3 separate regions of the Mus musculus genome follow, and all the other regions are reported to be linked to region 2. The links are microRNA targets in miRTarBase. Many come from high-throughput screens and were not tested one by one. Region 2 holds a microRNA gene; each other region holds the end of a gene's coding sequence.
The links. The annotated mature microRNA mmu-miR-330-5p reads UCUCUGGGCCUGUGUCUUAGGC and lies in region 2 at 1,343-1,364, shown strand. An mRNA with a match to its seed (bases 2 to 7 or 8) in the 3' UTR can be bound and repressed. Matches are read on the target gene's strand: a 7mer-m8 pairs with bases 2 to 8, a 7mer-A1 pairs with bases 2 to 7 and ends in A, and an 8mer does both.

Region 1 (3,205 bases), not on the chromosome of region 2:
GCTCCATGGATGCACCAGGTCACTCTTTTTTTTTTGTCACAGCATGTCCCAGCCCCTCCTGGACCGCACAGTCCCAGATTATACGACCTTCACGACAGTGGGTGACTGGCTAGATGCCATCAAGATGGGGAGGTATAAAGAGAGCTTTGTCGGTGCTGGGTTTGCATCCTTTGACCTGGTGGCCCAGATGACTGCAGAGTAAGTGTACCGCTCAAGGTGCAGGCTCTGGGCAGGAACTCTGGCTGAGCCCAGCGTCGCGGGTAGAAGGGAGGGACTGAGTACCATTTTTTTCTGTCTCTAGAGATCTGCTAAGGATTGGGGTCACTTTGGCTGGGCACCAGAAGAAGATCCTCTGCAGTATCCAGGACATGCGGCTGCAGATGAACCAGACCCTGCCTGTGCAGGTCTGACACTCAGCTCCAACGAGGGGGGGGTGCCCCCCCAGGACTGCACAAGGATTCTGACCAGCCAGCTGGACTTTTGGATGCCTGGCCTCTGGCTGTGGCCCAGAAGATGGAAGTTTGGGGGAGGACCCTAGCTGTGACTTCTCCAGGCCTGTGCTCCCTCCCAGGAAGTGTGCCCCAAACCTCTTCATATTGAAGATGGATTAGAAGAGGGGGTGATGTCCCCTCCCCAGATGCCTTGGGGCCCAGGCCTGCCTGCTCTCCAGTGGGGAGTCTTCACAACTCAGATTGGGCTGCGCTTCAGTAATGGACGTCCTGGTAGGGTCAGGTGGGGATAAGCCTGGGTTCTTCAGGCCCCAGCCCTGGCAGGGGTCTGACCCCACCAGGTAAGCAGAGAGTACTCCCTCCCCCAGGAAGTGGAGGAGGAGACTCTGGGGATGGGGAGATATGGTGCCCCATCCTGAAGCCAGCTGGTACCTCCAGTTTGCACAGGGACTTGATGGGGGCTGAGGGCCCTGCCTACCCTTGGTGCTGTCATAAAAGGGCAGGCAGGAGCAGGCTGAGAAGCAGCCTGTGCCTCCCAGAGACTGACTCAGAGAGCCAGAGACTGTGTGTGTGTGTGTGTGTGTGTGTGTGTGTGTGTGTGTGTGTGTGTGAAAGACGGGGGTGGGGGTATGTATGTGTGTGTTGTGCACATGCTTGCCTGCACAGAGAGCATGAGTGTGTACAAGCTTGGCCCTGTGCCCTGTAGTGGGGCCAGCTGGGCAGACAGCAAAATAAAGGCAATAAGATGACTCTTGCCCCTGCTCGTTCTTCCTCCCAAAGCAGGTTTCCTTGATTTCCTCATGTCAGTGAGGGAACTAGGGGGCTGCTAGACCTTCACAACTTCCTGGGGGTCAGTGGGAAACTACAGCGAGGCTATCCAGGCCCGATTTCTCCTGTAGTTCAGCCCCATTGCTTTGAGCATCTAATAGAGTTCTCAGAAGTTCCTTGTTTCTGGGGCTGGGGGACAGGCTCTGGAGTCTGCGTGGTGTTCTGTAGAGTCCCTGAGGGAGAGCTAGAGGGTTAATCACTCCCCAGGGTCTCAGTATGGCTCCTCTTCCTTCACTAAGCACTGAGTGCACCCAGTCTTGGAGCCAAAGCCAATTTTACATCCACATCTTATTTCAACTCAGTAACCCAGCCAGGAGAAGAGGGAGATGTTTAGTAAGTTGGCCACAGTTCCCATCCAGCACTAGAGCCAGAGGCTGGAAACCCCTGTCTATAGACAGCCTGGAGAGGCTTGGGAGATGCATATCAAGAGTCCGGAAGAGGTCTGAAGTCTCTGGAGTCAAAGGAAGACTTGTGCGTGTCAGGATATGGAAATGAAAAGGGACATCCATGATCCTGGGTAATGGAATGGGCTGGAGGAAGTGAGTGTATGCACCCTGGGTCTGTTTTAACCAGTGGTGGCAGGGTGAGAGTGCAGGGGAGGACACCCTCACAGGGAGAGATGCAGGTCCCTTTGGACCAACAAACAGAAGCGGGCAGGGTATAACAGATGCAGTCCTCCCAGAGTAACCATAGGTGCTGCCTAGAAGAGCTTTCTGAAATATCTGTGAATCCTAACTTAGAGTGCCCTTCACTGGGAGGGACCAGGAAGGCCTAGTAACATGGGCATGTACAAGGGTTGTCAAGTGTGGCCACCTCAGTCTGGTGTTTCTGGCTCCTCCTGGGTCCCTTCACCAACCCCTGGCAGACAGGTTCTCAAGACTGCCTCTCTACCCCTTGCATTCGGTGCCCAGAGTCCTGCAGTACATACTCACCGTGAGGGGGGTGCACCCACAACGTGGATCCTCAGTAGCCCCCATGCTCCAGGGAGGGGGTGGGCAGGAGCTCCCCAGTCATCTTCCAGTGCTGTCGTCAGTGGTGTGGGCATAGGGGTACAGGAGAAGGGATGTGGGCATGGTTGCCATTCCCTTGCTGAGAGTTCACAGGTCCCAAGCCTGCTTCCTACTCTTGGGAGGGTGGCCCTCTGGATCAGTGAGAGGTCTGTGGCTCCTGTCTCCTGGGTAATTTTTCCATTGTCCCACCCCACACAATGCTGACTGTGGAGATCCACTCAGAGCGAGGCCAGGATCTGCAGGGTGGACTGGAGCCTAAGGCTAGAGGTGCTCAAGTGCTCTTCCAGCTCCGTCCAGCCCACTGAAGCCTGCATGATTTCTTTCTTTATGGGGGTATGAATGTCTTCCCCTGTCTTCCCACAGTCTCCTGCCACTGTCAGCCAGAGTACATGCACGTACTCTAAGCCTATTCCATTATCCACACACCACTTACATTACCCGTTTTCATGCCCTCAGTCTGTCCACCCTAGCCCCCCTCTTAGCCTGGGTACCTGCAGGGTTTCCCAGGACTCAGAAATAATGAGGGGAGGGGCCTGCAAGAGTCACTGCATTCCTGCCAGCTGATAGAGCCAACTGGTATTTTGTCTAGAGAGCTGGGATGTATTCAGACCCTAGAACCTCAGAACAAAGTAGTGAGGGAAGCAGGGTCTTGGCAGAGGAAGAGAGAGCACCCCAGGAGGGGTCCAGCTTCCCTACAGGCAGATAAGGAGTAGGGGGGGATGGAGTTCTCAGTCTGTCTAGTCTTCCGTTAATTACACACTCTGGGGCAGATTAGCTCTCCCCAGTCAATGATTTAAAAGAGAAGCCAGTGGGGAAGAGGGGAGAGGCAGGCCCTTTCCTGCTGAGGCCAGGTGCTGAGTAAGACCTGGGGTAGTGTAGTGTAGTAGGAAGCGCAGCCTACACAGAGCCCAGGCCGGG
Region 2 (3,251 bases):
TGGGCGTGGCTTAGGTGTGTGTGTCAGATCTTACAGGATAGCTTGGAAAACGTTGGGACCCTGTCCAGTGAAATTGGATAGAGTCAGATTGCTTAATACGACCCAAGAAAAGAGGTGGATGTGACATTGTTTATTAAGAGGGAAGCCAGGAGTGACCATGGCTCAAGCCTGTAACAACGGCGGCTGAGGCAAGAGGATGCCAGGAGTTTGAAGCCAGACTGGGTTACATGATTACACTTTAAGTTTCAGTCCAGCCTTGATTACAGTGAAACCCTGTCTCAGATTTATACATACATACATACATGCATACATACATACATACGGTGCATGGGGGTTCACAGCTCTGATCCCAGGACTTGGTAAGTGGAGAGAAGATCACGGGTTCAAGGTCGTCCTTGGCTGTTTACAGTTTGAAGACAACCTAGCTACTTGAGACTCTGTCTTAAGAGACAGAGACAAACACAGACAAGAAGACAGAGCTAGTCCAGTACTAAGTTAGAAAGAGGGTGTGGGTGTGTGCAGTGGTGGACGTGGTCAAGTATCTAGAGGCAGGGCTCAATGTGTAAGGGTGGAACTATACTGACGTAGAAGGAGCAAGGACTTAAGAGTAGGCTATAGTAAGTCTAAAGACAAAACCCAAGTCTCCTGAAATAATAAAATCACATTCTCAGTCAGATGATTGCCCGCATTAGCAGCTATCAACCTCACAATCATGCTAGGAAGTGTAGCTATTCTATTCAGTTTTTGAAATGAGGAACCCGAGGTAGAAGTTGGGCAACTTGTTCATACTTTGAAAAAGAGGCAGAACTGGGGAGATCTGATCTCAGGCAAGCACACCTCTGAGTCTGTGCTATCAACCGTCATCTACCCCTCACCCTATACAAAGAGTCTTGTGTCTAGATTCCTTGGTCCCGGCAATGGGACTCAGTGACACCTGACGCCTGCAGGGGTCAGCCGCGGGGGGCGGGGCAGGGGCGGTGGCGCGGGCGACTCCCAGGGCCGGAAGCGGCGGGGCCGGTCCGGGCTCCACCCCGGACCCGAAGCTCCGCCAGCAGCCGCCATGAGTAGTTTTGGAATTGGGTGAGACCCTCTTTCAGCACCCCTCCTCCCTCCTCCTGCCCTTCTCGCCTCAGGAAGAGAAGGTGGAGACACGCCCCTTCCTCTGAACTTTTCATCGTCTTCCTGGCTGCTTGAAGTTTGGGGTGTTGCTGGGTAGGGAGGGAAGGAGCGCCGGGGAGCGTTTTGTTGCTGTTGCCTAGGAGGGAGGGTCCCTAGTGACTCCGGTCTTCCAGGATCGCGTGCCTGCCACATCGTGCTGTGTGACCCTTTGGCGATCTCTGCCTCTCTGGGCCTGTGTCTTAGGCTCTTCAAGATCCAACGAGCAAAGCACAGGGCCTGCAGAGAGGTAGCGCTCTGCTCCTTACTCGCCTGATTATTCGTTCCAGACCTGCAGAGCCCCGGGGTTAGGGGAAGTATTCCTTGTCCTATCTCATATGCTTGCTAAAACACTTATTTTCTTCTTCTCCCCTACCCCTCTTTCTCTCCCCTGCATCTTTTCCTGACAGGAAAACCAAAGAAGTTATCTTCAGCATGGGTAAGTGTGGAGGATGGGCGTGAGTTCAATGATGGTAGCCTGCTGAAGACTTGGGGTCCTGGCTTCTGGGCCTTTGGTTGTCTGCCTTCAGTTTATGCACCTGTTCAGAAAGGAAGATGGAGGGGAACAGGGAGGAAGAGAAGCAAAGAAGAGAGAAGGAAAGGGGAGGGAAGAAAGGATGGATGGAAGGAGGTTTGGTCTAACCTAGTAACCCAGCATTTGGGAGCATGAGACATTTTGGAAGTTGAAGGAAGGCTAGCCTGGGCTATATAAAGAGATTCTATCTCTATATAATTATCTGGCTGTATGGCTCACACTTGCAATCCCAGCACTTGGGAGTCAGAGGCAGAAGAATCACCTTGAGTTCCATGCCAGCTTGGACTACAGAGTGAATTCCAAGCCTGTCTTAAATTCCAGGCTAGCTGTCTCAAATAATAATAATGACGTTAGTAATAATAATAATAACAATGAGAGGAGTGCAAACAAGCCTAGGGGCTGGTGTGGAAACTGACCTCCGAGGGTGTCTTGGCAGAGGAGGGATCCGTAAAGATGTTTCTGCGGGGACGCCCTGTGCCCATGCTGATCCCGGACGAACTGGCGCCCACCTATAGCCTGGACACTCGTTCTGAGCTGCCCTCCAGCCGGCTAAAGCTAGACTGGGTGTATCCTTTGACTAGCTCCCTTTCTGCCCTCTTGGAAGAGGGTAAGTCCTGGTACGGAGAGGGAGGCGCAGGGCAGGGCTACAGCTGGGCTTTCTCAGGCCACAGTGGGGGAAGTGGGGGGTCGGAAGGTGAAGGGAGTCCAGAGGGAAACAGAGTAGCTAGAATGACTCACCTGCTGTGAGTGACTCATTCAGGGAATGTTTGAAGCGGAATGTTTAACTCAAGGATGATCTTGAGAACTTGGTCTTCCTGCCTGCACCTTCAAGGGCTTGGATTACAGGATTTTGTGCACCACCACATCTGGCTCTCATGGATATCAGTCAGACAGTGTAAACTCTGTGATCTGTTTATCTGTGGAAGGTCTTCACAGGGCTAAGCTCAGGAATGAAGAATTGGAGGGTGGGGCACATTGGTTAACACACACATACACGCATATATACATTCATACATACATGTATATACGCACATAAATACATACACATACATACATATACACATACATATATATTGGTTTTTCAAGACAGGGTCTCTGTGTAGCCCTGGCTGTCCTGGAACTCTGTAGACCAGGCTGGCCTCAAACTCATAAAGATCCCCCTGCCTCTGCCTCCTGAACACTGGGACTAAAGGCATGTGCCACCACCACCCAGCTACAATAATAGTTTTATTAGACACTTTCAGTGGGGGTGTATCACACTGGGGAATGATAGTGTTTCTCAAAAAGAGGCACTGGGACCAGCAAGCAAAGATTCAAGGAAAACACTCAGGACTAAGAAAAAATGAGAGCCGGGCGTGGTGGCGCATGCCTTTAATCCCAGCACTCAGGAGGCAGGGGCAGGAGGATTTCTGAGTTCGAGGCCAGTCTAGTCTACAAAGTGAGTTCCAGGACAGCCAGGCTATACAGAGAAACCCTGTCTTGAAAAACCAAAAAAAAAAAAGAAAAAAAAAAATGACTGGCCCCGGTGAGTTGGAGCTACTTGGGATACTGGAAACAGTCA
Region 3 (3,251 bases), not on the chromosome of region 2:
TAAGTGTAAGAGGGAGAAACACCATGTTAGAATGAGGTATTTAATTTTGATTAGACAGGTTAATTAAGTGAACCCATGGGGGCTTTTGATTGCTGGACCTCAATACTTTGATAGCTGGGCCTTCATCGCCAGCCTCAGGAGTAGAAGTGGCCAAATAAGGGAACATACCATGGTGGCTAGCTCTAGGAATATAATCTAAGGTTTTTAGCAAGACAGAAGGCATTGCAGAGAAGGACAAAGCTGGCTAGCAGTCCTCCCTTCAGCACTTGCCCTTTCTCTTGAGGTGGACACAATAGTCTTGATCTTCTAGCAGTCTGTGATTATTTATTTATTTAATCTTTATTTGAGTGTGTGCACATGTAAATGCAAAAATGTGCCTGTGTGAGTTTTTATTTGTACCAATGTGTGTTCAGGTTCCCTAGGCGGCCAGAGAACATCATATCCCTAAAGCTAGAGTTACTGGGCAGCTTAAAGGCATCTGACGTGAGTGCTGGGAAACTGACCCCAGGTCTTCTGTAGGAACAGTAGATTCTTTGCACTACCGAGCCATCTATCCAGCATCACTGGATTATTTTAGAACATCACAATCCCTCACTTAGTGACCCCGTGCAGAAGATAAGGCTCATTTCTGCTCTTGGATAGCAAGATCCTAGATCCTTGTTTTCTTTTTCTTTTTTTTTCTTTTTTCTTTTTTTTTCTTTTTTCTTTTTCTTTTTCTTTTTCTTTTTTTTTCTGAGACAGGGTTTCTCTGTGTAGTTCTGGCTGTCCTGGAACTCACTCTGTAGACCAGGATGACCTTGAACTCAGAAATCCGCCTGCCTCTGTCTCCCAAGTGCTGGGATTAAAGGTGTGCGCCACCACCGCCCCTAGATCCTTTGGAAGACCTACATTTTGACATCAAACACATTGTTCCCTTTTGTGCATTCAGGACATTAGAGAACTTATGTTCGTCAGTTGCTAAGGTTCCAGTCCAGCCCTGAGCCTCCAACCTCTCCTGTTTATGGAGTACCTCTAATGATTTAGGAGGCAGGAAGACCCAGAGACCTGGGCCATCCAGGGCAGAGTTATCCCTTCCAACTTGGTCAGGTGACCAAAAAATAATAACCCACTTGTGTTTTTACAACTTTTTTAATATATATTTTTATAAACAGGTCACGTGATAAAATAGCACAAGAAACACTTACCAAATATAAGGTTATATCTTCCGCATATACAGGAGAATGAGGTCGTTATGTACAATAAGAAAATGATTTTAGGGGTTGGTTGGTTTTGTTTGTGTTCCTCTCTCCCCTTAAATTTTCCTCCTACAGTCATTGGAAATATCACAGCTTCAGTTGCATTAATACTTTGGGCAAATGGACAGCTTCCCCCTCCCTGTTGGGGGACTGTGGGAAGAGGGGCTGACAAATCTGGCTCCTGACCACTTCAGCCTGGGGCCTCCCTGGCCAACACTGCAGGGGCAGGGAACTCTTTGGGCTGTTGAATCTTTACTTTTCGTCAACAGCATCTCTCTCTCTCCTCTCTCTCTCTCTCTCTCTCTCTCTCTCTCTCTCTCTCTCTCTCTCTCCCTCTGGCTCTCTGGGAATTAGTTTACTCTCTTCCAACCAGATAGGGGTGTCCCAAGATTAGTTGTGGGTGCTGTGTCTCCTGGGGTTCAAGGTTGGGAGGGAAGGTTCCCAGTCCCTTCCTCGGTATTGTCACCTATATGCCAGGATCCCCTAGGACTTCCAAATTTCTTGAGACCTGACAGAACATGGTCACAAACCCTTTGGGCAGGCAAAGGTTTTGGAAGCTGGGAGAACTAAAGGAGGACTGGGAAGGAGCCCTCCTTCCCTGGGGTGTGAAGGGGGTGCTGGCCACTGGGAGATCAGAATCGCTGGTCAGTACTGACCCTGACTCATGGCCAGGCCCTCTGCAGATTCCACCTGAGGAGACCTATCCAGGGAGAAGCACAGTGCTGAGAGGCCTGAGCTCAGCTGGGGTAGGGGCTCAAATGGGTGGGCTGATCCCAAGGCCTGATAGCCCTGTGGGTGGCTCCAGATTGGGGTCTGCCAGGTGCCTATTCCACCCTTGCACTTAGGTGGATGGGCACCGGTTAGGCTAATGTTGATTGTTCCAAGGTCTGCGTCCTCCTAAAGCTGTCCCAACCTGGCCAGGGCCCAAGGATCTGTAGGCCAGGGGGAAAGAAGGAGATACGGGGGTAGGGGCGCAGGATACAGAGGACAAGAACTGACCTATATGGCAACAAGGAAGAAGGGAAGCCACTAGGTCAGGTGGGCATGGGGAGTTGGGCTCCTCAGGGGGCCATGGCTTTGGCAGTGGCCTGTGGCGCCTCATACCCTTTGGAGGGCTCCAGGCGCGGTGCAGTGGAAGATGTGGGAGGCCCTTGGGGGCTCTTCCAGGCCCCTAAGTCCTGGGGGACCAATCCCTCCATCCCCTTGGGCCCTGCCCGGGATGGGGGGACAGCGAGGGGAGGCAGAGAGCAGAATGAAGTGGGGAAGCCAGTGAGGGCATATGCACTCAAAGCATCCCCAAAAGGACCTAGACCCCCAGAAGGCGGGCGAGTGATGGCGGCGGCTGTGGCATGGTGGAGGGCGGGCGTGCAGTGCGGGCACGAGGGGCATGCACAAAGTCCCCGAGTGTGCGTGCGTGCGTGGGGCTGGCCCCTCTGCCTCTTGCCCCAGACAGGGAAGGAGCAGTTGAGCAGAGGAGCAAGGGAGGCACGGGGCGGGATTTCCCTCAGCTTGCCCCGCCTCCAGCGCAGGGCGGAGAAGAGATGCTCCGGCAGGGATGGAAGAAGGGCTACTGCCCAGGGCGTGGCCGGTTCCCGCGGCCGGGTCGGGAAGCCTGCGCTATTCAATGACGAGGCAGCGCGGCAGGTGCTGCGAGAAGTACTTGAAGAGCTCGGGTGTGGCTCCAGGGCAGTTGGTCAGCTCCAGCTCCTCCAGCTCTTGCAGTTGCACGAGGCCAGATAGCCCGGTGGTAGTTAGGAGCGGGCAGCCTGCAAGCATGAGGCACGGGGACAGCCGCTCAGCAGTTCAGTTCCGCCTGGCGGGAGGACTGGACTGGGCTGGGCAGGTGGGAAAGGCTGAAGAGGACAATGACCTGCTAGGGGTGGATTCTACTGGGCTTGCTGAATGAGGCGGGACCTGTACCGGGCGTGGAGGGGTGGGAATCTGACAGGATGGGCGGGACCTCCACCAGGGAAGGATGTGTTCAGACTTGGCCTGATGCAGGGTAGATCTGAGCAG

Region 1: miRTarBase lists Ephb3 as a target of mmu-miR-330-5p. Seed matches in the 3' UTR shown: 8mer at 984-991 and 7mer-A1 at 1,005-1,011.
Region 3: miRTarBase lists Fbxl16 as a target of mmu-miR-330-5p. Seed matches in the 3' UTR shown: 8mer at 1,576-1,583.

What each region holds. Positions count from the first base shown.
Region 1 is chr16:21,222,107-21,225,311 of GRCm38, forward strand. It overlaps Ephb3 (Eph receptor B3), which reads left to right. Exons shown (of 16, transcript NM_010143.1): 15 at 43-198; 16 at 302-1,198. The coding sequence ends at 410. Among named protein-coding and RNA genes, the nearest start is that of Ephb3, 19 kb to the left of the region's middle.
Region 2 is chr7:19,180,144-19,183,394 of GRCm38, forward strand. Mir330 (microRNA 330) reads left to right here and starts at 1,322; the gene lies at 1,322-1,419. It overlaps Eml2 (echinoderm microtubule associated protein like 2), which reads left to right. Exons shown (of 22, transcript NM_001347582.1): 5 at 1,566-1,594; 6 at 2,127-2,256.
Region 3 is chr17:25,819,124-25,822,374 of GRCm38, reverse strand. Fbxl16 (F-box and leucine-rich repeat protein 16) reads right to left here. Exons shown (of 6, transcript NM_001164225.2): 6 at 1,113-3,001. The coding sequence ends at 2,853. Among named protein-coding and RNA genes, the nearest start is that of Wdr24, 2.9 kb to the left of the region's middle.